Linked DNA regions of Drosophila melanogaster. The protein of the gene in region 1 interacts with the protein of each later gene in a pairwise test. Each region holds a gene or a part of one and is shown on either strand. Other genes may lie near its edges.

The links.
Region 2: the proteins of CG42542 (region 1) and Epac interact in a two-hybrid assay, tested with the Drosophila melanogaster proteins (one large-scale study listed by BioGRID).

Annotation. Positions count from the first base shown.
Region 1 is NT_033777.3:15,191,251-15,205,353, reverse strand, and holds CG42542 (uncharacterized protein), read right to left. Parts: upstream 8,757-14,103; 5' UTR 8,717-8,756; intron 8,413-8,716; exon of another isoform or gene 8,057-8,412; intron 6,490-8,056; 5' UTR 6,384-6,489; coding exon 6,204-6,383; intron 6,141-6,203; coding exon 5,850-6,140; intron 5,785-5,849; coding exon 5,644-5,784; intron 4,791-5,643; exon of another isoform or gene 4,711-4,790; coding exon of another isoform or gene 4,669-4,710; coding exon 4,129-4,668; intron 3,331-4,128; coding exon 3,151-3,330; intron 3,089-3,150; coding exon 2,909-3,088; 3' UTR 2,377-2,908; downstream 1-2,376. Other genes in the region: Spn88Ea (serpin 88Ea), read left to right, coding at 818-1,804, 1,865-2,161; Kpc1 (Kip1 ubiquitination-promoting complex subunit 1), read left to right, coding at 9,328-9,491, 9,550-9,796, 9,942-10,087, 10,149-10,889, 10,954-11,236, 11,295-11,610, 11,683-12,092, 12,173-12,286 and 3 more.
Region 2 is NT_033778.4:6,793,584-6,804,764, reverse strand, and holds the start of Epac (exchange protein directly activated by cAMP), read left to right. Parts: upstream 1-5,823; 5' UTR 5,824-5,995; intron 5,996-7,352; 5' UTR 7,353-7,824; coding exon 7,825-7,859; intron 7,860-11,181.

The DNA.
Region 1 (14,103 bases):
TGAAAGCAAAACTGGAGCTATGGTCATCACAAAGCTCAAGCTCCCAAACCGATCCCCGATCCGATCCGATCTGTGGGCGCTCCTTCATGCTCCGATGGATGCATGTGGGAATGGCTGATGTATGGATACATTATGTTCGGATTGCGAATTTCGAGTGCAGAGCAGCGGAAACTTTCACTTTTTTTTAATGTCGCCTCTGCGGAGATGTTGCAACTGTCGTCTGCAAATAGCTGACCACTCCATGGACTGGAAAAAGCTTTTTGGTGAATCAGCCTAAAGCGATCTTTAACGACCTCAAATCGGTTCTATATTTTCTAAAAAGTTTCAATCACAAATCATCTAAGCTAAGTCTATAAAATATTTCGTGATTGTTTACAACAATTCTGCAGTAGTCGGTTTATGTAACTAGAAAACCCTAATGACTTGAAGTTTGGCAAACTAAGTGAATATTAAGTACGTAATTAGCTGGGACTTGCAGTTCTAATTTAACTACTCCCATAATTAGTAGTGACTTTACACAGAAATCACTTTGGGGAATTTTGTCAATATTTCTGGGAGATTCATAAATTTTTCTGGCCTGAGTGCGCTTTAAATGCTTAGTTGTCTAATAAATTAGATGAGAAATTATACCAGGATTCAATGCCGGTCACGTATTCCACACAAATCACACACTCAAAAATAAAATGGTATACAAGGTCACATATTTAGGGGTCTTGTGCTTTTCGGTTACCCATTTCAATCACATGTGCTTGCAGCCGTTAAAATAATTGCTATTTTAACTTAAATCATGTTCCAATTTTTAGCAGGCTTCCACATCATGCACATCCTCAGCATATCTCTAATGGCGGTCCTGCCGGCCATCGCCTTAGCCGGTCTCTGTGGGGTTGAGCCCGATGCGGGTTTGTTGGATCAGCGGCTGAACCTCTATAAGGGCCAACAGAACTTTGCCGTGTCCATGCTGAACGTGATTCGGCAGAGCACTCCCAATGAGAACGTCTTCTTCTCGCCGTACAGCACGTATCATGCCCTGCTCCTCGCCTATTTCGGATCCTCTGGTGACACGGAGAAGGAGTTGGCCAAGGTGCTGCATCTGGATTGGGCCGACTCGAAGGAGGTGGTGCGCAGTGCCTATATTCTGGAGAAGATGAACCGTAAGGAGCGGCAGAGCAAAATGCCTCTCGAGTTCTCCTCAGCCGATCGCATATTCTTCGCCAATGATCTGCATGTGACCGAATGCGCAAGGAATCGTCTGGCCGAGGAGGTGCAGCAGATCGACTTCAAGAGCCAGACGGAGGAGTCGCGCAAGCAAATCAACGATTGGATTGCCAAGCAGACGCACGATCAAATCCGCAATATGCTCAGTGCCGATGAAATCACTCCGCGCACTCGTTTGGTCCTGGCCAACGCCGCCTATCTGAAGGGTCAGTGGCTCAGTCAGTTCAAGACGGAGAAGACGGTGCCCATGCCCTTCTACACGTCTCCGTCGAACTACTCTCTCGTGTCCATGATGCAACAGAAGGGCACCTTCTTACTGAATGTCGACGAACAGCTCCGCGCCCACGTGCTTCAGCTGCCCTATCGCACCGTCTTTGAGTCTCAGGAGAAGGAGGACAGCTCGCCGGATGAGAACTCGGACATCTCCATGGTGCTCATCTTGCCGCCATTTAACAGTAATTCCCTCGAAGATGTGCTCTCCCGGTTGAATGCCGACAGTCTGGATGATTCGTTGAAGCAGGCAATGCCCCGCGAAATCGAAGTTTCGCTGCCCAAGTTTGAGTTTGAACAGCGCCTGGAACTTAATCCTGTAAGTTTAGACTTTTTGATTCCAAAGCTTGATTTAGTTTTGACCTGCTCCATTCCTTAGATCCTTGCCAAAATGGGAGTTAGCAAAATGTTCGATGAGTCTGTCGCTACCTTCGATGATCTGACCTCCGAGACGATTTCCATCGGTGACTCCAAGCACGTGGCCAAGATCAAGGTGGACGAGGAGGGTAGCACTGCGGCGGCGGCCACAGTCCTCTTCACCTACCGCTCGGCCAGGCCCGTGGAGCCGGCCAAGTTTGAGTGCAACCATCCGTTCCTGTTCGTCATCTACGACCGCACTTCCAGGTCGATCCTATTTACGGGCATCTATCGCGATCCCAAAACAATAAAGCAGTAAAAGATGGCGGGCTTTAAGGTGCTGCAACTTTGCAAGTAATCTAACCAAATTATTTTTCGACTGTAAAACACGATGTAAACTTTAAAAACAAACTTTAACCATAATAAATTATGCCTATAACAAGAAACCTAATGATTTTATTCATCACTCATACAGGTTCTTAAATTTAAAAGAAAGAACAAGATTTATCCCGCCCATTAAGCGCACTTTAAAATCTTTGTTTTGCTCAATTTAATTAGTTTTTCATACAAAATTCGCATAAATAATCAAATCTACAAAGTTTCATTTTGGTTGTTTCCATTAAGTAAACACGGCTACGTAAACAAATATGCGAATAAGGATCTGCGTTATGAAGGAAAGGATACAACTCAGAGGAGCGTGGGCATCGCGATGGCTCTACACGCGTATGTACAATCATCTTTAATACTTAACACGAAACCGAAACTAAACAAACAAATTAAAGCGATACTAGACAATTGGAAAACAAAAGAATTAATTGTGTGAACTAAAAATGTATGTCATGGCCGAAGCGGAAAGCACTGAAGGCACTTTTGTTTTGGATGTTTGGCAAGAAGAAAGCTACGTTAAAAACATCAACGCATTTCTAGTTTTAAACTAGTTCAACACGATCCTTGCCTGATGCTCCTCGAAGAAAAGTGGGGTTTATCAGGTAGTAACTAAAACTAAATCTTCATAATATTGTGGGGTCGTCAGCGGGCAATCTCGATTGGAGTATAAAGGCTTCGCCTAAATGTCATCCGGAGGTATGGCGACAGCGTAGATGGCGAATCCGATGAACACAATGCCACCCACAATGGTGACAGTGCGCACTGAGATTTTGGAAGCCACGAGACGACCACCAATCACAGCCAGGCCGGTGCAGATGCAGTGGCCAATAATACCGCCAGCGATAACGCCGTAAACGTCCTGCAACGGATAATAGCTTCATGTACCAAATCATTCCGGTTATTTTTATCCAAAGTGCTCACCTTGCTAGCGGCGAGAATAATGGTGGTCAGTTGGGAGCGATCGCCCCACTCGGCCAGGAACGTCATTGTGAAGGCCTGGGCCAGGATGCGCATGGTGAAGTAGGTGGCACCCCGTTTCTGTGGACGACGACGACCGCTCTCGGCGTCATTCACCAGCGCCGCGTTCACATCACGATCCAGCTGTAAAGGAAGATGGGGATTTTTAAGGATCAGTATGCGAACAGCAGACAGACAAAAAAGATTCGATGAAAATGTGCGCAAACAAAAGGATATAAGACAGCAAATTAAAAATACATGTAAATACTTTTGAACCAGAAAACTCGGATACCACCGCTTTTCCTTCTTAATAAACCAAAAATATAAACTAAAATCAAAAATCAAGAAACGATCACTTCATCATAACAACATGCAGAGAGAAAAATCGGGTGAGATGTGTGCGCTTCGAATGTAATTTAAACGAGACTAATGGGTAATAAAATACCGAGGCGACAAAACCAAATGCCAGATGACTTAGAGTTAAAAAATAATTGATGCTTGTGTTTTTCGACTGTAGTGTCACTGTTTTATGAGTGTTTTTTGTTTTTTTTTTTTGGTAAAAAGCAAGTGAAACGTATATATGATTAGCTAACAACGAAAGTTAGCGGTTGTCAGTTATATAGATTCTCATTCCGATTACAATTTCTAGAAATAAAACTGATTAAATCTATTAATATAGGTTACTCTTTTTTTAGCCTCTCACAGCACTCAGATAAATTTAGCTTAGCTCTACAACTCTTTGGAAGTCTTGAGATTTGAAGTTAATTAATCATTCTTTAATCTAAATGATATGACTTTAGGGATCATAGTCCATTCGACAATCTCCATCTAAGTGTGTAGCGTTAATACAAAAACCAAAAATTCAATCAATTCCAATTTCGAAAAACGTAATCGAATGGGAACCGGAAGCGGGACAATCGCAAATACGGTCTATGTCCTAACCCGTGCTTTGAGAGCGCCATTCACCGGTCCGGATTCTCCGTTTAGGCTGCCATTGAGACTGTGCATGCTATCGTGTCCGGCCAGCGGAGCACGTGGCTCCGAGGCGCCACCTACGGACGGGTCGGTGGGATGGCCAGCCAGCTGGACATCTACGGTGGCGGTGGAGGCGGCAATAGAGTTGGTTTGTTCGGTCTGGTTCGATGAGGCCGCCGAGTGGGCCGGGCTGCTGGGGAAGGTCTTTAACTTGAGCTGCTCGACAATGCGGCCGCCCTCCTTGAGGAACACCTCCGATTCGTGCTGATCCCGGTCGTCGTCATCGTTGCCAGTTTTATCACAGCTATTTTGCTTACTATTATTGTTATTGAGATGATTGCGCTGTTTCCGCTGGCGATGCTGCATGTCCGTGGTGGAACCTGCCGCCGTGGAAATGGAGTTGCGGCCATGGATAAGCGCCTGTTCGCTGGCATCCTCCTTGTCCGAGTTGCTATTCTTTCGCTTGCCCTCCGCGTCCTCGTACTTGCGGCTGGCCTTGCGCAGTAACTGCGCTTGGAGCGTGGCACAAATCAAAGTTGAGTGCAACATATATAGTTTATGTTTGTTTCGGTAACATTTTGAGGGGCAACGTTATTATCGAATTGTTTTAATTTCGTGTTGCATAAAGGAAAAACAATTAAAAATTTGCATTAGCTAGAAATTCGATTGGCAGAAATTTTGATTTTGATTAATATTCTGGTGGAGTTCTCGTTTGCCAAAAAGCTTTTCCATTTCAAACGATTTTCTGGTTTAGTACGAATTTGCTTTGATCAATAAACTTTTGAAACTCGCTTGTATTTGATATGCGCAAATCGTGCAATTAGTCACATGGTCATAGATGTGTGGTAAATGTTTGTATGTGAATTTCGAATGTTTGATTCAAGACAAATCAAAACCAAAGATATTCGGAAGCTATAACTGAGAGAGTATGTGGCCATACAGGTGTTTCACTGACGCTATTCGGAGCGCCCATTTTTCAATCGGCTTGGGTTATTTAGTTAAGGTAACCATGGATTTTTGTTAGGGGCTAACAAAGATTCTTAATTAGCATGCAATCAAGGTGTAATTACAATTATGAAAAGCTTAGAGTTCGTGTCTGATTAGTAATTGTTTGGTTCTTATTGTTCATGGCTCTCGTGTCAGGCAAATAAAATGGTGTTTAATTTTTTAATATAAGGTAAGAGTGAAAACCAAAGCGTGGCATATGAAGTGATTGCTTTGGCGTGGAATCAATAATTTGTTTTGTTTTTCTTTTTTTTTTGCTCTACATTTTGCCAGTCGTTATGGTTATTATAATAGTAAAACAAAAAATTAAGCGCAGATATTAACAGAAGCAGTAAAAATAACTAATTACTATAATATTGCAGCAACGAGGTGCTGCAGAAGTGCGTCACTAATTGAAACAAAGTTAGGATCTATAGAAACTACTGCAACATCTAGCACCACTACTATATACATATGCATCCATCGAAGGCGACTCACCTCATCCTCGCGCTTGCGCAGATCAGTTTGCACCTCTTCCAGTTCTTCCTGAGCGTCGGTTGGTTTCATTTTGTAGCCGTCGTACAGCATTTTTAAACCAAATATTAAAAATAATGCAGTTGAGATATAATACGTATAAATCTGTAGGTAATATAAAGTTGCATTAGTTTGTAAAGTTATCTAAATTATATTTTTTCACGACCTACCTTAGGAATAAAGTTCGCTGCCATGCCAAATGCGCATGAGAGTACCGTCATTAGCGCCAAGGCGGCGATGGCACCGCCAAAGACAATCAAACGCGGATGGCGCATGGCCATTATGGCAGCGATAAAGAAAGTCTTATCCCCTAGCTCTGTTAGTAAGATAACAGAGATCGATGCGGTAAACGCATCGATAAAGGTGCCCTTCGTTTTCGGCCGGTCCGCAGCATCTTTTGGTTTCTCCGCTAAAGAACTCAGATCCGTTGGCCTATTCAAATCTCCCTGCACGTCCAAGTTCTGCAAGCATTAAAGCATATTGGTTAATAGGCTGTTAAAAAGGAGGAATTAGGTCATCCTTACGCTCTGTATTCCGGATTCAATGACCGCATTGTCCGCACTATCCGGTTGAGCTTCCGCCGCACAAATTGTGCCGAATGTGAGCACCACCATCAGGGCCAGCGCCATGTGCCATTTGGCCGAGCGCTTCAGGTATACATTGTGTCTGGTCGTTTGCCAGAAGTAGGATTGGTTTTGTGACATCTTCGCTGTCTGTGGTTAGGAACTATCGCTCCTTTATTCGCGCCGCATGCAAATCTCCTTGTTCCTCTAAACTTTAAACGTGTACGTGTCCGTTGCCCTCGACTGACTGCAAAGAAATGAAGTAGACCCGTTGAGAATCTCGCTCACATGGTTTGAAATACACGAGCCCAGCACAATGTTTATGGCTAATCGGGCAACAAGTGTTCTACGCGGCATTTGTACAAGGCAAACAGAAAATCACTCGTGTCTGTGTTTGGCCAAGTCAAAACTGGGCTCGATTTCAGTGGGGCACGAAGCTGGCGGGGAAGGTCGGAGCTAAGATAAGCGACCACTGCGACAAGTGTCGTCTGATATGGTCAATCAATGTCGCTGCCCTCGACTGAGTTGGCAACCCGTACAAATCAGTTGCCGAAACATATTCCTCCAAAGCGCACGACCATTCAATACGTCAGAGGCAAAAACACTCAACTATCGATTAGATAATGGCAAGAGAAACACATTCGGCAAACTTTGCCATTTTTTTTTTTTTTTTTGCTGAATACCAAATGCTCTACGGGGTCTACCTCTGCATATTTATACTGCTTATCTTGAAAGTCTTATGGTGCTAAATATTTGTGACTTATTTCGTTTGGATCGCAGTTCGTTATCTTAGAAATTAACCTAGAGGCGGATAAGTCTCGGGAATTATATGCAGATTAGAAAGGTTGGATGTGAGATTGGAGTAGTATTTATAAAATAAATTTATGCGTGATCATCAAAAATATTTATCTGAAACCATACCAATATTATTCTATTTAAGTACATTTCATTATCTCCACAAATTACGACACTAATAAAAGTGAACAGGACTCCTATAGATAGAGTATAGATATGGACAGATACGTGACCAGAGAAACAAGAAAAAGATGGGCAGTAATTGACTACTATGCGTATGGTCATGTTCCTAGCTTCGTATGAATATATATAGGTATACATATATGTTTACATTTTGCTATTGATGGTAGCTATGTATGTGGGCATTTTCTTTGATGTTCCATTATCATATCATAAGAAATTGCAGAGTTATTAAAAGAAAACGTATCATATCTGAGATTTAACCTGTTGGTGTTTAATGCAAATTGTATGCTTTGCTGAGATACTAATATGACTGAGTTATTTAAATATCCTGGTCGAGAAAAAACAAAGGCGGTTTAATCAAGTTACTGCCTTGTTTATAGTGAGTCAGTCCACATTGTTCTGGGGGGTATTTTTTTTTTATTGGGTTTCCTGTGCTTCCCATTTGCTTAGCAGAGATCCTCTGCCGTCGTTTGTTCGTTATATATAGTTTCATATTTCATTAACGTCATCAAAGTGGTTTTTAGCCTTTTTTTTCGATAAATAAAAGATTCAAGACGCAATAGGGGCGGTGTTAAGGCGAGAAGACCGCGAAAGCTATCATTATGTAAACACACAATATACATACTGTGAATGCTGATTCTTTGAGAGCTCAGTAGTTACGTATGTGGGTCTTATATTACTTGTAATGGAGAGAAGTGATAAGAAAACTATATATTTTGCGAGGGTGGTTTGGCGGGAATAGTTGAAGCAACTGAAACATTGTAAATAACTATTAATTAATACGTATACATACGTATTTCCAGTTCATTTTAACTGAATTCAAATTACAAACTCACACACACATTCGGAAATTCGCGTTGATTGCCGCGCAAAAAAATAAATAAGAACAAGAAACGGGTCGAGAACGGGCAGATAAATCAATTGCCTCGACTACAAACAAATATACCCATGTATAATCAGAAGTAATATTCATTTATGCCCAGATATGTACGTATGTTGTAATGGTCTTGTTTTCGAATGGTTGGCAATGATTTCTGTTTCCCTTCTATTTCTTTTCGCGAATTCTATTTTTGTAAGACACGCAACAACAACAAATAATCTTAACGGTTTCACTTCGCATCGCTGACCAGTTAGCTGTTTTATTTTCAGCGTATTTAATTGTTAATACTCTCCACGCAAAGTTATTGGCACAAGGTCAACTGTGTGATTGCTAATTTATTTATTTAACAGCCGCCATTATGAGCATTGTTTTCATTGCGTTTCACTTTTAAGCCTTTTCCCGCCAGATCTAGCTAGTTGTCGGACACCACTATCAGAAACACTCGGTCGCTGACGACAGCAAATTGTCAATTAACCGAAAGGTAACTGTACTGCTCGCAAATATCACACGTTTAAGCAGCGTAGAGTTGTTCTTTTGGTAACTCATTTGTCATGAATCAACGCCAACTTGTAATTTAATTAGCTTAACTAGCAGAGCACAGAAAACACGTCCTTACATATCGAGAAGTACTTTTCGTTTCACTCGGTGTTAGGAAGCGCTTGAAGACGAGCAGTACTGCACAACGATGTTGAATTTGAACAGCTGCTTGTTAGCGCCTTTAGAACGAGATGGAGCATACTGTACCAAAGAGCAGGATGGAAGTATTAGGGAGGAGCAAATGTGAGCGATATTTTGCGGGGTCAATACAATAGTTACGTTATAATAAATTTGTATGTATGTACACATAATATTGATTCAAATTCATAATTTGAATGACAAGGTCCACTTATTTAATACAACTATCTATATTTCAAGAAACTTGCATTAGTTTTTAAATTTTAAAATTCGGTCTATGATAACAGAATTTTGATACAGCTTGGCAACAAATTGTTACAGGTCAGATATCCAGAAAGAAAACTGTATAATATTTTGTCAAAATTCAAATTTGTTAAAAAATCATCGGCTTGTCGCGTGACCCGATACTTGCCACCGTTAAGCAGATTCACAAGGAGTGTCTGAGTTTACCATCCCTAAAGCTAAAGAATTCCTTTTTGTGACGGTCGAGCTCGGAATCGGACTCGAATTTGTGTGGCTGGAGAAAGCTGGCATTGAAATGACAGAGCCAAAATGTCGATATCAAAATTATTCGTGAAAGTATTCAACGAGGATATATTCGAGCAGGTGGACCACGATAACCTGTATTCGGATCTGGACGATGACTTGGAGGGCGCTAATTGCTCGACGGTTCCGGATCCGAGACCCGCAAAGCTCGCCGATTTATCAGTTACCAAGTAGGAGTGTCCTTAGCCGCTGAGGTTAAACTTTTCAATGGACAATCCTTTCCCTTAGGCAGATGCTCATAGTGCGAACCTGGCTAGATGACAAGTTCCAACAAATCCAGACCGACAGCAATGAAGAGATTCGGCGCCTGTACATGGAGACAGAGAGCCGCATTGGCCCGGATCTTACCATATTCGATGTGGACTATACGACTACAGTGCGGGTATCCTCGGATCGCCTAGCCCTGCGCTCCCAGGGCAGCTTCAACACGGTCCGGGCTAATTGTTGCGTGTACGGCGGTCGCTGGATGTATGAGGTAATCGCTATTACATGGAGTGGGAGGAGTAGCTAAAGATTGGGGAATGAGTGGTAGATTCGACGGTGGTTGACCACCGGTCATTGACTCGTATTGAGGAGTGTGGGTTGCTCGTGCGTACTAAGAACGTGTCATTTATATACAGATCCACCTCCACACTAAGGGCGTAATGCAGATTGGTTGGGCCTCCAACTCCTGCCAGTTTAACGAAAACAGCGGGGTGGGAGATACCAAGTCCAGCTATGGATACGATGGCAGCAAACAGCAGATCTGGCATATATCCACCAAAAAGTAAGATATCCATTTATTCAACATTGATTCAGGATTTATATGTATATAATTGCTTTCCTAGGTACGGCGACAAATGGCAGATTGGCGACGTTATTGGCGTGACTATTGACGTGGATAAGGAAGTGATCGAATATTATCGAAATGGCCGTTCCATGGGCGTGGCGTTCAACAAGTTGGAAAAGGGTCCGGGCATCTCCTTCTTCGCAGCCATCTCCTTGGGCTACACGCAGGGCATCGAGGCGAACTTTGGCAATCGTCCCTTTATGTATCCGGTATCGGGCTTCCAGCCGCTAATGGCTCGACCTATCCTTAAGCTGCAACGGGCCAACCTGCTGATGAACTACTTGGTCAACCTCGCTGGCATATTTTCCAAGTATAACGCCCAATCTGGGATGGCACCAACGAATGGCGCAGATGCTCGCGTTTCCACTAAAAAGACCGTGTACTGCATATTTGCCACCTTGCTGATTGAGAAGTTCACCAATGAGATATTTGATCCATATATCATCGAAGATGTCCTGCTCAGAAAGATCTCGAGCATGACAAATTTAGCGTCCGAGAAGGAAAACTCCTACAGCGTACTCCATGGCTTGTTATCTCTCTTCTGGAACTACATGGAAGGCGACGAGATCAAGTTTGTGTTGCGGAAGTTGGTGAACGCTTTGCTGGGTACTTTTACGCATACGATACAGGGCCTGGACTATGAGAAGCATCGCCAGGCGCTCGGAATGCTGCATTGCCTTTGCCTGCACGAACAGACCAGAAAGTATCTGCTGGAAGGAAAGCTGTTCAAAAAGCACTGGTACGGATAAAAGATAAAACTCGTGTAATCCTGAGTGTTAAATTCGAATAATTTTTTCATTTAGTCTTGCATTTTTCCTCTACATACATCCACTGGAGTTCTACATCATGGAGGAACTGCTGCCTGACAGTATGGCCTGGACGGAGGGCATCGATGGCCCCAAGGAAAAATATCTGAATGTTGTCGAGAAGGTGCGCAAAGTTACGGAGCCACTGTATACAGCGCAAAAGGATCTTCTCTGCACGCTGATGATCAACTCGGACGGATCAAGGGAAAGTCCGTCAAGCCGCTCAATATTTTTGAGCAAATTGCGTCGTTACGTAATCGATCTCAGCATGGAGCAAAGGGTAAGTGTGCCCAATGATGATTTTGCACGGTTTTAATAGATCCTTAACCTCCATGTAGCCCTTCCACGCCTTTTTCTTTATGCAATCGAGCATTCAGCATCCACTCGATGCGCCTGTGGCCCTCGCATTTGCTAGCATTCTTATTGATCAGACGCGCTCGATGTTCAAAGATGAAATGCCCACAAAGAACGTGGAGGTGAACAGCGATTATTTCATAGATGGTACCTTTGACTACATGCACTTTGATCGCGTTGGAGGTGTCTTGTCACATTTAAGAAAAGTTCATCGGGGCGACATCGATGCTAGGTTGGGATCAGCTCGAACTCAGCAAATTTATGAAGATGATAGGCAAAACTTGCGGGTCAATGAAGTGGGTATGTATGCGAAAACTTTTGTTTAAATGCTGAAGCATACAGTAAAATAATTACAACTTGTCACAATTTCAGATACTACGCTTTACCTTTTGGGCGAAAACATAAACAATGTGCCCGTAGTGGGACACACTCAGGGCGCCAATAATACAACCTACACTCATTTCCTAAATACACGACCCAATAGCAGCACCGACTCCTCGCCGGGCAACGCGGATATGGAGGCCAGCCTGTGCGAACTCCTTGATTTGTGTATCATCTTTTACTACTCGGCAGGCCACAAGTACATAGTAAAGATAGCCACGGTAAGAGACGAGATCGCAGCTCTAAATGAAGTACTTAAGGAGACGAAGTTCTACCGGGAGGATATCGAACGTAAACTTGGGGCATTGGAGCAGCATGCCAATGTCTGCATGAACGAAAATCACCAGCATGTGATGGGCGAGCTACGGTCTAAGTTCAGTCAGCGTCAGAATGTTTTTGCTGTGAGTTGATAGTTTGCCTATTGGTTATTCTTATTTAAGTAGTTTATAAGCAATTAGAATATGTTTCTTCCTATTTGCAGACACGCTCTATTGCCCTGGCAAGGAAGCAAGTTTGGCTAAGAGGAGTGGCCCTGAACAATCACAGGCGATCCCTGCTCATATGGCTACTAGAGCGAATGTTACGAACTTTGACGGTACGCAATTTTTTTTTGTAATTTTATCTTTTATTGATCTTATTCTTTCCATCCATCAGACTGCTTCAAATACGGGTTCTTTGTTCTCATTTGTACCTGAGGTGTATGTTAATACACTGCCTATTCTGCTGGACGCCGTAATGGACTTTAGTCACCATGATTTGAAAGCTCAATTCGAGGCCTCAGATGCGGAATGCAGCGTGAACGCTGCAGCAGAGTTTCTAGGCATTCACTCAGCAGATCCTCGCATTGTGCTTGCCTCATGCAAAGACTCACTGCTGCAAGCTTTGGGAACGCTCACCTGCCACAAGTCCGGAGTACGAGCTCTGGAACGTACTTCGAAGAGGTCTCAGGCTAGTCTGGTTCGTGCCTTGCTACGCCCCTATGAGAACAGAGCTTGGGGCCAGAGCAATTGGCTGCTATTGCGCTTTTGGATGGGCGAGGGATATGCCTACAAGGATTCCCGCCAGCCCTCTGTGTGGCAAGGTGGCTCGCTGCCCCTCCACCAGGGACTGTGTCGCAGTCGTTCCAGAAACGAGACGCATACAGGATTGCTGCACAATGTCGCTCCCGCTAATCCCTCAAAGCATTTTCAACGTTTAATCGGCGCCAAATTGTTGGAGGATGAGCCTTTCGCCACCGCCTTTCTGAACTCGGTGTTGAGCCAACTAAACTGGGCTTTTTCCGAATTTATTTTATTGCTGCAGGAGGTGAGTGATTATGGTTTAAGTAATACGAATTACATAAACTATATTTAACCACTATTCTTAGATACAAAACACTGCTCAGAGGCAGGAAAACACTCTTTTTGAGCCCAAGCAGCTTAAGATATGCTCCATGTGCTTTGAATTGACTGTTTCGCTGATGCGATGTCTGGAAATGGTCATCACAACTGCGCCTGAAATCGTCACCGATGAATCTCGTCCAAATAGCGATCTGCTACTCAATCGCATCTGTCAGTTGATTAGCCAGGTGCTTTCGCGGGTTACAGTGCCACCCGGATGTTTCCAGTTCGTGGTGGACATGTGCTCGGCGGACCTAAATGCAGTCACCCACTATCCTATTGTGACTGCTGCTTTGGGTATTTTGCTAGCCCTAATGCAGGAAGAGATGGAGAGCGATTTGAGACCTCAGATTGTAACGCGCGTATCCCGGGCTTTTCTCACCGATCCGAGCTTCCAATTTGCCACGCTGGAATTTGCACTGGGAGAAATCCGAACGCCACTGCTGGAGCAGAAGAATATACCACGCGGTAATTTCGATCCCTCTTCCAGGCCGCACATTGATCCGCTAACAAACGATGTACGTGTGCCGTTGCCTAATAATTCCAAACGTATTCGGGCCGATCCGCCAATCCTGAAGTTTGCCCTTAATGATTGTAAGTATATTGAAAAGGTAATGGAATAATTATAAGTAAATCAACGTTTTAAATCAATTTACAGTTCCCTCCCATGTTTCCTCTGAAGAAATCGACAATGTCCGCAGGCTTATCGATAGCCTGCGAGTGAAACAGACTCTGCTTTCCGACATTACACTGCCATCAGAGGACTCCCTGTGTCCGATCTGCTGCGCCAAGCCCATCACTGCCGTTTTCACGCCATGCAAGCATCAGTCCTGCAGCGACTGCATCATGCAGCACATGATGAACTCCAAGGTGTGCTTTTACTGTAAGACCACTATACAAACCATTGAGACTCTGGACGGTACGGTCATCTTTTCCAACGACGATGTAGTCCAGACGCCAATGATCGAGCGGGCCTAAGGAAAAACCCACCGATAGCAATCAAGGAAAGCCCAACCAAATCTAGTCAAACTCC
Region 2 (11,181 bases), on another chromosome or scaffold:
TCAGGCACGCACAGGACGATATCTCCGATGGCGGCACGTAGCTCCTCCTGCTGCCGCCGACACTGTTGTTCCAGGGCTACGACATAAACTGAGCCGTCGTCCGCAGAAGAAGATTCACAAAATCAAGTTGGGGCGGTCCAATACCGAAGGTGGGGCCAGCCAAATGTTCTGGGAATCGACACAAGGATGTGTGCGAATAAAATGAATCAACTTAAGAGGTCATATTACAGATAGCGATGATGGCGTAGGGCGAAGTGTGTTAAGTTGTATGCGTATTAAAACATGAAGTCTCTTTCCATTAACAAGTGTTTCCTATCAAAAGTGTTTGTATTCCGTGCTGCCAGCTACTGTTAGGTATTCATTATCCATTGGAAAGGAGCCATCAACTTTCTAAGCCGGGATTATCGACGATAAACCTTATATCTGGGTTGGCACAACTAATTATTTTGTGATATGTTGCGTTGTTTTCGTCCTTGATGAGCATCTCCGAGTGATCGTTAATAATTCAAACTTATTTACCTGCGTTTGTGAGCAAGTGAGTCGAAACTGGGTCAAAGATAATAGCCTTGGACGCCTCGATGCTGCGTATTTGCGATGGACAAACAACTCGGAATTCTGGGCAATATTTGTGCGCCTAATGGCCGCCGGGCTGCCTTGATTAACTAGGCAAACAAAACGGCCAGCCCACGCCGAATGCGATATTTGCACGGTATTTGTTTATGGGCCCGGGAACTGGCTAATCAAACAGCCTAGGAGGTGGGCGGTAGCTGGGAGGGCCAAGGACGTTGTGGCGTCTTGCAAATGATGTTAATGCGATTTTCATGCGATAAGCTTCGCATTAGCGCAATAAGCCACAAATAATCAGGCGTCTGACAGCACCGGCGTCACACCTGGACGCGATCCGCAATCAGATTCCAGTCGCAAAGGAGCCCAGAAGAAGCCAGAAAACTTAACTCCCTGCTAGATGGCGTTAATGCGGCAGCTCCTCCCGGATTGGCCATCCACAAGCAACTGAGCAAAAGGCGAATCCTGTTTATTAACTTCCCGGACAGCTTGCTTAAACTGCCGGAGTGCTTATGCAAATGTATGTAAAGTGTTGTAGTCGCCAGCAAAGCGGAGCCAAGGCAAACCCTCCAAATGAAGTGAGAAAATAAAATTAAAACTTACACACTCAGTTTCAACGCCTTTTCTATCCCATCCCCATGGCATCCCCAAGCCCCATGCCACACCATTCAGCTGCTGTGCGGAGTTAAGCGATAAATTCCAGCCATTCAAAGTCGGAGAAGGCACAAAAAACCAGAGGTGGTGAGTCTGGTAAGGGAAAATATTTGCACAGGTAGCTTTAAAGGAGGTGGGATCTGTTGGCGCTGAAGGGATATCTTTATGGGAAATCTTAAATTACATTTATTTGATCTAATGATAAGAATAGAATGGAGCCAATGCACCCCATTCGAGCGCAGCTCCATCAAAAATTATAAGGGAGGAGTATGAAAATCTTGTGACATAAGGTTCAGCTTGCTTTAGTAAAGTTTAGTAAAATCGGAAATAAGTTGAGAACGGTTCTATATATCCATTCCGAGGTAAAACTATATGTTTAGCTTGCTTTAATGGAAATTTAATGAAATCGGAAATGCTTAAAAAACAGATCTATAGATCCTATATACTAGGTGGAACTGCCCAGTTACTGGCGCATCTCTTTCGAAGGCAAATACGATGGACGTCGAGGTGTGCTGGCCAAAAGGTAAACAAAATGTAAATTGGTTTCGGTTTTCCAATTCCGTTTTTTCTGTGCTATGTGCTGGCCAATGCCGATGGAAGTGGCAGATGGTGCGCCGTTCAATGCACCCGATACGGGACGCTTTCCCCAGTCGAAGAACCCATTAGGGCTCAAAGCCGAACGCCATTGAACCTGCCACTCCAAGGTGGCTCCAGCACACGGGTGTGAGGTTTGCTGGGGCTTTGGCCTATTAATGGCGTTCCGCTGCCGGCCGTTGATTAATCCAATTATGGGGCGATTAACGTTCCACTTGCACATCAAGTATCCGCCACGTGGTGCCGTCTGACAGCAAATAATAAAAACCTTAAGTGCAGCAAGATGGAGGCGCTAGCAAAGTTATGTCCAAATCGAACTCCAGTGCTTCCGCCACCCGGAAACTCGGCCGAAAAGCTGTCCCACATGAAAATGCCAGTCGGCCAAGTGGCACGCATCATGCAACATGCGGGTGCAGACCGGGGCACTTTCAGTGTGGAATTTAATCAGAAAACAATTGCATAAAATTATGCTCAGCAAGGCGAGAAATTAGTTTTTACTCGCACCAAGCGGGCTGCAGTCGCAGTCCCAGGATGTTGGTTGGCAGATGACATGGCCAAGTGGACGGACACACGGCGAAGTGCTTGCTCCACTCCAAGGACCTCCTGCTTCCCCTTGTGTTTGCCCCGGCACTTTTGTTGTCCGACACGATGTCTTGATGTTCAAGAGACTTAATTATTAAAGCAGTTTCGGGCGACCGGCCACCCTTCTCCGATTTGGGCAGCTCCAGCTGGATCCTTTGGAGCTAGCTGCCTGTCGAATTGAATGCGTAATTATGAGCCATGAACCACTTCTGGCTGAGCAACAGCTGCCAAAGCGACTGACTAGGAGAACGATGGCGACGGGGACAATTGGCAGGGACGGGTTTGTTGGCTGAAAGTTAATTTTAAGCACACATTTCACTGAGCTCATTAAGCACACAGTCTGCCCGCTCCATACCCCAGTCCGCCCTTCCGCCCAAAATTGCGCTCCGTAAATCGCGCGGATAATCAAGTTTTTGGTTGAATGCAAATGACAGAGACTCCATCGCGTCTATTAACTTTTGATTTGCGCGTATTTGCCGGATGGCGGAGGGTATTGACAGGAAATCTCCTCGCCACTAATTCAGTATTTGTATGGGGTTTTCTGTGGAAACTAAGTTATTCAGCTAAATTCTGCTGACAAGCTGGAATCAGTGATTGGTTATTGCTTGAGCGTCTTTAAGGGCTTAACAATATAAAAGTACAGATCGATACCCTGCCTATCAGCACCGAATTAATTAGCTAAGAACACAATATATATATATATATATAAATATGTATATATATATATCAAATAAGTGCAGTGGATGTCCAATCATCTGATTCTCAAGAACATTAATCAATGCGTTTACATGAAAATCCCCGACAGGCAAACATCAATATTCGCACTGAACAGCTTGAGTTGCGCCCAAATGTGTGCTACACGTTGGTCGACTGGTGCACCGCCATGGTGGTTAGGGAATGTGGGGTGAATCTATCAGGAACCTGCGGAATATGCGAGTGCCTTATTAGCCAGTCAAAACATGAAGGCAGTGGCGCTGGCGTTCCTGATTGCACGTGCGCTGGCGTTACCTCATTTATCAGCTAATCAAATTACATGGCCATAATACGCAAACATTTGCATGAAGGGAGCCCAGGAACACAGGGCAGCTTTAATAGGCAATTTGCGTTAAACGCTGATTGAATAACCATTAATGCAACTAAAGAGCCAGTGTGCCACACATGCGATAATAATGACATCAGCAGGTGGGTGGGTAAGTGCAATCAGGTCGTAAACACGTTCCGACGGCACCAGTGACTGACTTTTGAAGCGACTGGCTGAGGATGGTGAGCCAAAGTCCTGGACAAGGACTTCGACAACAACGACTAGCTGACGACGAGTCGATCAATGTACAACAGCATTTTCTGCTAATGGGCCACAGGCAGGGTGGCAGGAAGCGCCATTAGACCAGGTGCCACATGCGTTGATGATGAAAAGAAAATGCATTAGGACCGGCCATGATGAGCCCGCACTTGGCCATGAAGGCCTTCAAAGCCAGCCGTGCCCACCAGCCGAGTTTATTAAGATCGCATTTATCATAATTACCGCCGGGTCGTTGTGTTGTGTCTGGTGGAGCAGGATTCAACGCCATGTGATGACATATTCAGCAGGCAAAGCGGCCGTTAAATTCTTGGAATTTCATTCCGCATTGGCAAGCCCGAAAAAATGTCTATGGTGGTCCTGTCAACATGGGGGAGGCTCATAAAAAATGCGACAGGCAGACCCCATGAAAAACCAAAAAAAAAAAAAAACCCTGCAACACAGGGAAAGTAGTCTTCCACTTTTATTACGTCAGTTCTATTTAGTGCTATACCGTTATTGTTAATTATGTCTAATTATATTAGTAGAAGTAATTCATCTTTGCACTTATCCTATGCTACACCCGTTTGTGTATAATGAAATACCTATCTAGGAATACCAGACTACGATCCACCTTAACTATTTTTCTTTCTGTGCATTAACAGCTGGGGGAAAAAGCCAAGAATTTATATGCGCTGGGGCAGCCTGTGGAGCTGGAACCGAAACTGGGAATGATTCATGCGGAAATAAAGGCACTCGAGAGTGCCGTAAATATTGTGGTGGCGACCACAACAACAGCGGCTCTGGGAAAGGTGGAAAACAAAAGGAAAGCTTTGCATTTTCGCACCTTTTCAGGAGCGAACACGACTGAATCGCCGTTGATTCATTAGCTGAATGTGACAAGCCGTCAGTGAATGTCCAAGTGTCCAAGTGACCAAAAGTCCGGGTGTTCACGCACTCGCTCCGTAAATTCTGTCCGTTGTTTCGTGTCCGCTGCTGGTGTGCATTATTTAATTGACATGTTGATTGTTTCGCATTGCGATTCCATTTTATGTGCACTTTCAGGCGAGGGTGTGAGGCAGTTCCGCCCGGGGCGCGGTGCGGGGTTGTCCGCTGTTCGCCCGACGGCCGAGCGGACGGACAAGTGCCTGTTGAAGAGCTGGTCAACTGCGACGACTCACCAAAATAACGCTCAACAGTTTGTTGTGGAGCACGTAGAATAGGAGAGCGAGCAGCAAATGTTGCTAAACATTCGAGTGAATAGAGTCAAAACAAATTGTTATTTCAAGTAGACTAGGCAAGCAATATTATTCGTAATACAACATATCAGATTCGATTAACTTTTCATCTTTAAAGCCCAATACACAATCTATATTTTTTTTTTTTTTATATTTATTTATTTAGAAGCGATGAATCCATACAATGCAGTAACAGTAACATAACAGCGCAATTAACATATAAAAGATAAAACCAAACCTCTCACTAATCATGTGAGGACTTAAGACAATCTATACTAATAAGCAATAAGCAAGTAAGTAAAACAAATAAATCAAACAAGAACATAAATTTATATGTTAAATGCTATATCATTATAGCCATCTTTATACAAATTGTATCTCTTTGCTGATTATCGTATATAAGTGTAGGCAGTAAATGAATAAGAATAATATTTAAATTAAATTAATATTAAGTTTAAAATCGTAAAAGAATAGTAGAAATCCATTCATATCACAAAATAATGGGATTCAAATTATAATAAATATTATAACAAAAGTAGTATAATTTCAAACACTATAAGCAAAGAAACTGTATTTAATTAGAACTACTTTGAAATTACGTTTTTTCGTGTGCCAAATTTTATTTGGATTTTGACCACACCGATTTGGATGTAAGCCCACTGTGCCGAAGATTTGTCAAACTTGTTGCTAAAAAACGCGCCAAAATATGTGAGTGACGGAAAGGGACGGCGGGAAGGCGGAACAAGGCCAAAAGTACCGCACCGCAGCCGTCAACACTGCAGTCATCGGCAATGAGTAACTTCCAACAACCCACCACGACCCCCAATCTCCGCCGGGAAACCCACCTGCGAGGCGCAGGACAGGAGCGTGGTGAAGAGCGCCGCTCGGAAGTCGGAAAATGGAAGGCGGCCGAGCAGTTGCGACGCGACTACCAAATGAATCGGACGCGATAGCGCTTCAGCGGAGGTCGAGAACTGAAATGTTTGCCCAAGAACTGTATATACCAAGTGCTTGAAAGCCGTTAGCAAGTGGTTCATTTAAATATTCGTTTGAAGTCGGTTCGATTTCAGGTATTCGCTGGATTTCGGTATGTCGCGTGGGTTCGAAACTAAAAGTTCATTTTCCGTGCCAAAAAGTGTTTGCCAACAAGAAGGACTTTAAAATATCGAATTCTGCTGCGGGATCTCTGTTACTCTTGCATCTTCTGATCCTTTTCTCCGTTCAGAGGATGCGTGAGTATTCGATTCATGATGTTTCTTCGCCACATGACCAAGCTAAATGGCTAAGTTTTCCGTTTGGCAACGGCTGCAGTGGGCAGTTAAATCACATCTATTGTGGTTCAAAGTTTTGCTTTCACTCGGTTGCTTAATTAAAACAAAGTTTGAAACCCTAAAGTGGAAATTACATGGAACATCTGTTTCCAGGGCGATTTCAAAGCTTGTTCAATTCAATTCCCTAACCGCCACTCCGGACACTAATTGCATTTGCTGGCAGGATGGACAACTCGTTCGAAAGTGGCCGCTTATCGAGTCGTCCACTCGGAATATCGCCAATATCAGTCTTATCGCCCCCGGGACTTTTGTCGCCATTTATGTACGTGGAGCCAGCCAGCGAGCGAACGACACGTCAGAAAACGTGGCATACATTCGGGCGCCTTCGCGGGCTGGCCACGATGGCGAATACTTAATTATTCATATGCGAGCTGATGGTCCTTCGCGATGTCTTTCCTTTTGAGCCGTCACTCGAACACTTGTTCCGCCTGCAGTTCCATTTCGCTGACGAAAGCCACTGCACTTCTGATGGGGTGGTATAAATTATGTTTTTTCCCATTGACGCAGAACAAAATACGCATTCGTTTGCGGTACAGATACAGATAGTGCAGCGCATGGGTAAACATGGAGTTCGGTAACGAATTCGCGGTTAGATCGTGCCTTCGCATGCCATACGATCTGGATTTGGGCATACTGGGAAATTAGAATGCCCATTGACAGCGCATTAAGTATACGCCGTGTGTGTGGAGTAATCTATTGTTATCTGGAAATCTATTGTTAGATTTGTGCGCCAACAGTTTGTTGGTGCTCCGCCCTCACCGCTCTCCTGCACCACAACACCCCCTCGCCGGCCGAGCAGGCATCAAAGCTTATTCATAACATTTGCTTTTGTTGGCGACACAGATACCCACAAGCACACACAAGCACACACACACTGACGCAGTGGGGCCTTCTGGGCAGCTATCAGCAGTTGGGAAAACCCTTTTTGGCAAGTCCAACAATAGCAATTCACATTAGTTATGTGGCTGAAAAAATCGGAAAGAGGGAAACTTTTACATCTGCTGCTGGCATTTTATATAAATTATATTAGAGTCCGACATCCCAAGGCTAGCTTACACTTACGACTGCTGTATAGTGAATTTAGACTCACATTCGCCCAATTTAACTTTGCAGCTGCTCGGTATCGAAATCCTCGTCGCCAGCCAAACGGGAGCTCAAACTGAAATCCATTTCCAAACTTTCGCCTAATCAACGAGCTACGTCCACTTACCCCTGGCTCCAACTCGAAAGGAGCTCGCTCCAACGCTCCCAAAAGCGGATTTCGAGTGCCTCGCTGGGCCGAGCCACCTGGCATGTCGTATTCAAAGGGAATCGCAGATTGACGGCCACATCGCGGATTGAGGTGACTGCAAACTGGGTGCGAGCGCCGCCATTACTCGGTATTTTGATTTCGCTTTCCTGGGCCGCAACGGGCAATTAATTTGCACCACTTTGGAGCCGCTCCGCCTCGATTTATGTGCTCTGCTCAAAGTTGGGGCAACTATTTGGTTTGGTGTTTGTGGAATGTGCTGTTCATAACTTGTATCATAACTTGTGTCAAACGGCGAAACTAATCGAGCGAGGGAGATTTAAATAAAAATTCAACATGGCGATGGAATGGATAACTGCAATGGACAAACGGTAAGTGATTTTTTAATGAGCTGCACAATTAATGAGCAGCGATTTTGGGGAACTTTTCTTTAAATTCTAAGTTTTTAGCTCCAAAAGTTTCCTTAGCTGAAACGGAATGCTTTCTCTTAAATTTAAGGCATTTCCCAGCTGAGTGCACAAGTTTCTTTCCTCTGTTTTCCCGGAGCAGACACGTACTCACACATCGACGTACGTGTAAGTTGAATGAAAAGCTCGACGTGGAGTACAAACAAAACGAGAACGAGAAGCGAAACATTTTAAAATGTTGCCGTCATGCTCGACATTCATTTGTCAAGAACCAACATCGGGGTGCCCCATCCTCCTCCATCCTTGATGGCTGGCAAATGGCCAATCCATCCACTTTGTGGACACGGCCTGCCACGAATTATCCGCTTTATTAAATCTCGATATCAATTCTCCGTAACTCAATGAGCCGCCTTCTGCACAGCAATTATTTCATCATTCCTGATTTGGACACCGAACAAAGGAAAATAAAAACAGGACTTTAATCATGACATTCATATCTTTCTTGTGAATTGAAATGCAAAATAAATGTAATTGTAGTTCGCTATAAATAAACCAACCCATTTAATGATACTACTCTTAAAATACAATTTATATTATGATAAAGCATTAAAGTAATTTACCATTCATTTCATGAGCTATGCCTGAAAAGTGTTTTCTGTCGTGCAAAAATAATAATTAAACCGCTGTAAAAGTATAAAAATACTATAATTTAATTGAAAATATATATATTTCTGCTGAAAGCTCCGCATTTCAGAGGTTTTAATGCACATACATTTTTTACGTAAATATGTGCTTTGCAATTGGATGGAGTTTAGTCTTGTGCAAACATTATTTTAGTGGAATAAAACAGAGGCACGGGACTATTGTTTTTTTTTTTTAGTTGATGTCAGACTTTATACTTTCCATTTAAGAGAGCGGTTTCATTTTATCTGGACACCACAGTATTTATCTTTTCACAGCCAACATAATAACATTACCCTTATCTAAATTAATGAAAAAGCTCATATGTGAGATGGAGTATCTCTCCTGATGACATGCTATTTCTAAAGCATTTACTATTGCAACAGTCAACAGAATAGTCAGCATTCTAAAGCATTTACTATTGCATCAATCAACAGAATAGTCAGCATTTAGCGTGTAAAATATTTATATACAATTACGGAATAACCAAATTTATTTTAGTGTGTGCGCAGTACTTAAGCTTAAGTTGAACTTGATTCGAGCTAATCAAACATTGACCAGAGATCAAAATTGTTTTTCAAAGTGTCTAAATCGATTTGCCCAACCGTAAATGGCCGGGAATCGAGCACACATTCTTCCCAGCAACCACTTGATGCAATTTGTTGGATTTCAGCTGGGGCATCGCTGGACGAGTGCCACCATTACCATTACCATTATTAGCCCCGCCTGTCCCCACCGACTGCTCAGTTGTGCGGCACACTCTATTATTGCAGAGTGGCCTTATATTTCATTGGTGTTATCCGAATGGGGCGTGCCTCCGCCTCATACCGGCCCGCCCCTAACCGCCGCGCACACACACCATCAATCAGAGGACAATCTCTTCAAATTTCACGCTCTGTCAACGCTTAAACGCTTCTGCCGCACTCGCACTAAAGCATGAGGGGTCAGGGGTCAGCGGGCACTCATGTGACTGTGCGCGGCAGCGGGAAAAAAGAAAGGTCAAGTGGCAAGGGCTTAAAGCAAACTGTTTGCCTTGTGCCTGGGCAAACATTTGCAGACCGCTGCCTTTTGTTTGCCCCGCCCAAAGAGAAAGGGCCTAGTAGCGCAAGGGTGCCAGGATGCCAGGGTGCAGTATGCAGATCCAGATTTCTTTCACAGCTCTTCGGCTGCTCCTTCTTATGGACCTAATACAAATGGCCTCGTACTAAAGTAGGGAGCGAAGACAAAATAAACGATTTAATTTGGACAGAATTAATGGCACAGCCAAGAAGGGCACGTCATGCTGACTGGTAATTCGGCTTATCAAGAGCGATCTGGGCTTAAGCGCACCTGGAGATAAAGGACGAGGGAGCACTCGGTGCATGCCATCGGAGAATCCTTGGAAGGAGGCAAGGTAATCGCAGAACGTAAGGCGTGAAGTGGCAAAGCCAGCAGACAGCAATTGATATTGATGGCTTCCCCTTCCCGGCGGAGGAACAATCGTCTTACTTACAAGTGCCGCCGCACATTTATCATACGCCACGTGTGCCAAAGCAGCTTTAATGTGTGCGAGGAGGCCACCCTTCCCCGCAGCTTTAAGGCTGACGAATCGCCGGCACGCCAATTACAAAATTCCGAAACTAAACTTTCGGGCGTGTGCCTAAAAACCGCAAAAACCATTATAATAAACAACGAGCTGGCTGCCTAGGATGTGTCCCAACGCGCTTCCGGCTCTTTGGATCACTCCCTTCGTCCTTCGCCTTTCGCCCACCAACAGCCACCTGGCTGTTTGGTTAACGACAAACCCAGAAACGGTTAGTGGCCCCCCTTCTCGGCACTCGGTTCCCGAAATTGCCGCTTCTACTGGCGAATGAATTATGCATGAGCCCGGCAAGACAGTTCACCTTCAGGAGCCGGATGAAAGTTGTTCGCAGGCTGCGCCAAAAAAGTAGACGCCTCGCTGCAAAAGTAGCCCTCGATGCAGATGATGCCCGGCCAGGGGCAAGCTTGGGATCTATTCCTGACTGCAAGCTGCCTTTGTCTGCCCAGGTCAGCCCTTCCTGCGGACGCACCCGCTCCGTCTGAGTTTTATGGAATTTTTAATTAGGCGAAAGTTGGGTGGGGTCTCCAGTGTGGGCGGCATTGGGGGATTTATGGTGGGCGGGAGCTCGCCTGAAAATTGTTTAAAACTTTTGGTAACATGCCGCATGGCAGCAAGGCGCAATTTGTTGTCTGTTAGACATGTAAAAACATTATTTATAGCGCGATTTGTATTGTTTTCCTAGGGGGAAAAACTTTATTTTTTTTTTAAAGCAAGGTGATTTAATTTTTATTATTTAAAATTAACTTACTTGCACTTCCTGAATTTGAGAACTCCTTATTAGATCTGACAGCTAACTTTTTCTCAAATGCAATTAGTTGACGCTTCACTCTCATTGCTTCGCCATTTCCCTGCCCTTCTTCTCATTATTCTGGGCGGACTTCCGTTTCCTGCAGATTCTTGCCCGGAAACTCTTATACTTATTTATTCATTTTTCAATTGACTTGCACACAGACAGGCAAAAAATATAATTTGCATACTTAATGCGCGCACAAACCGAGCACAAATGACACTGGAATTTTTAAT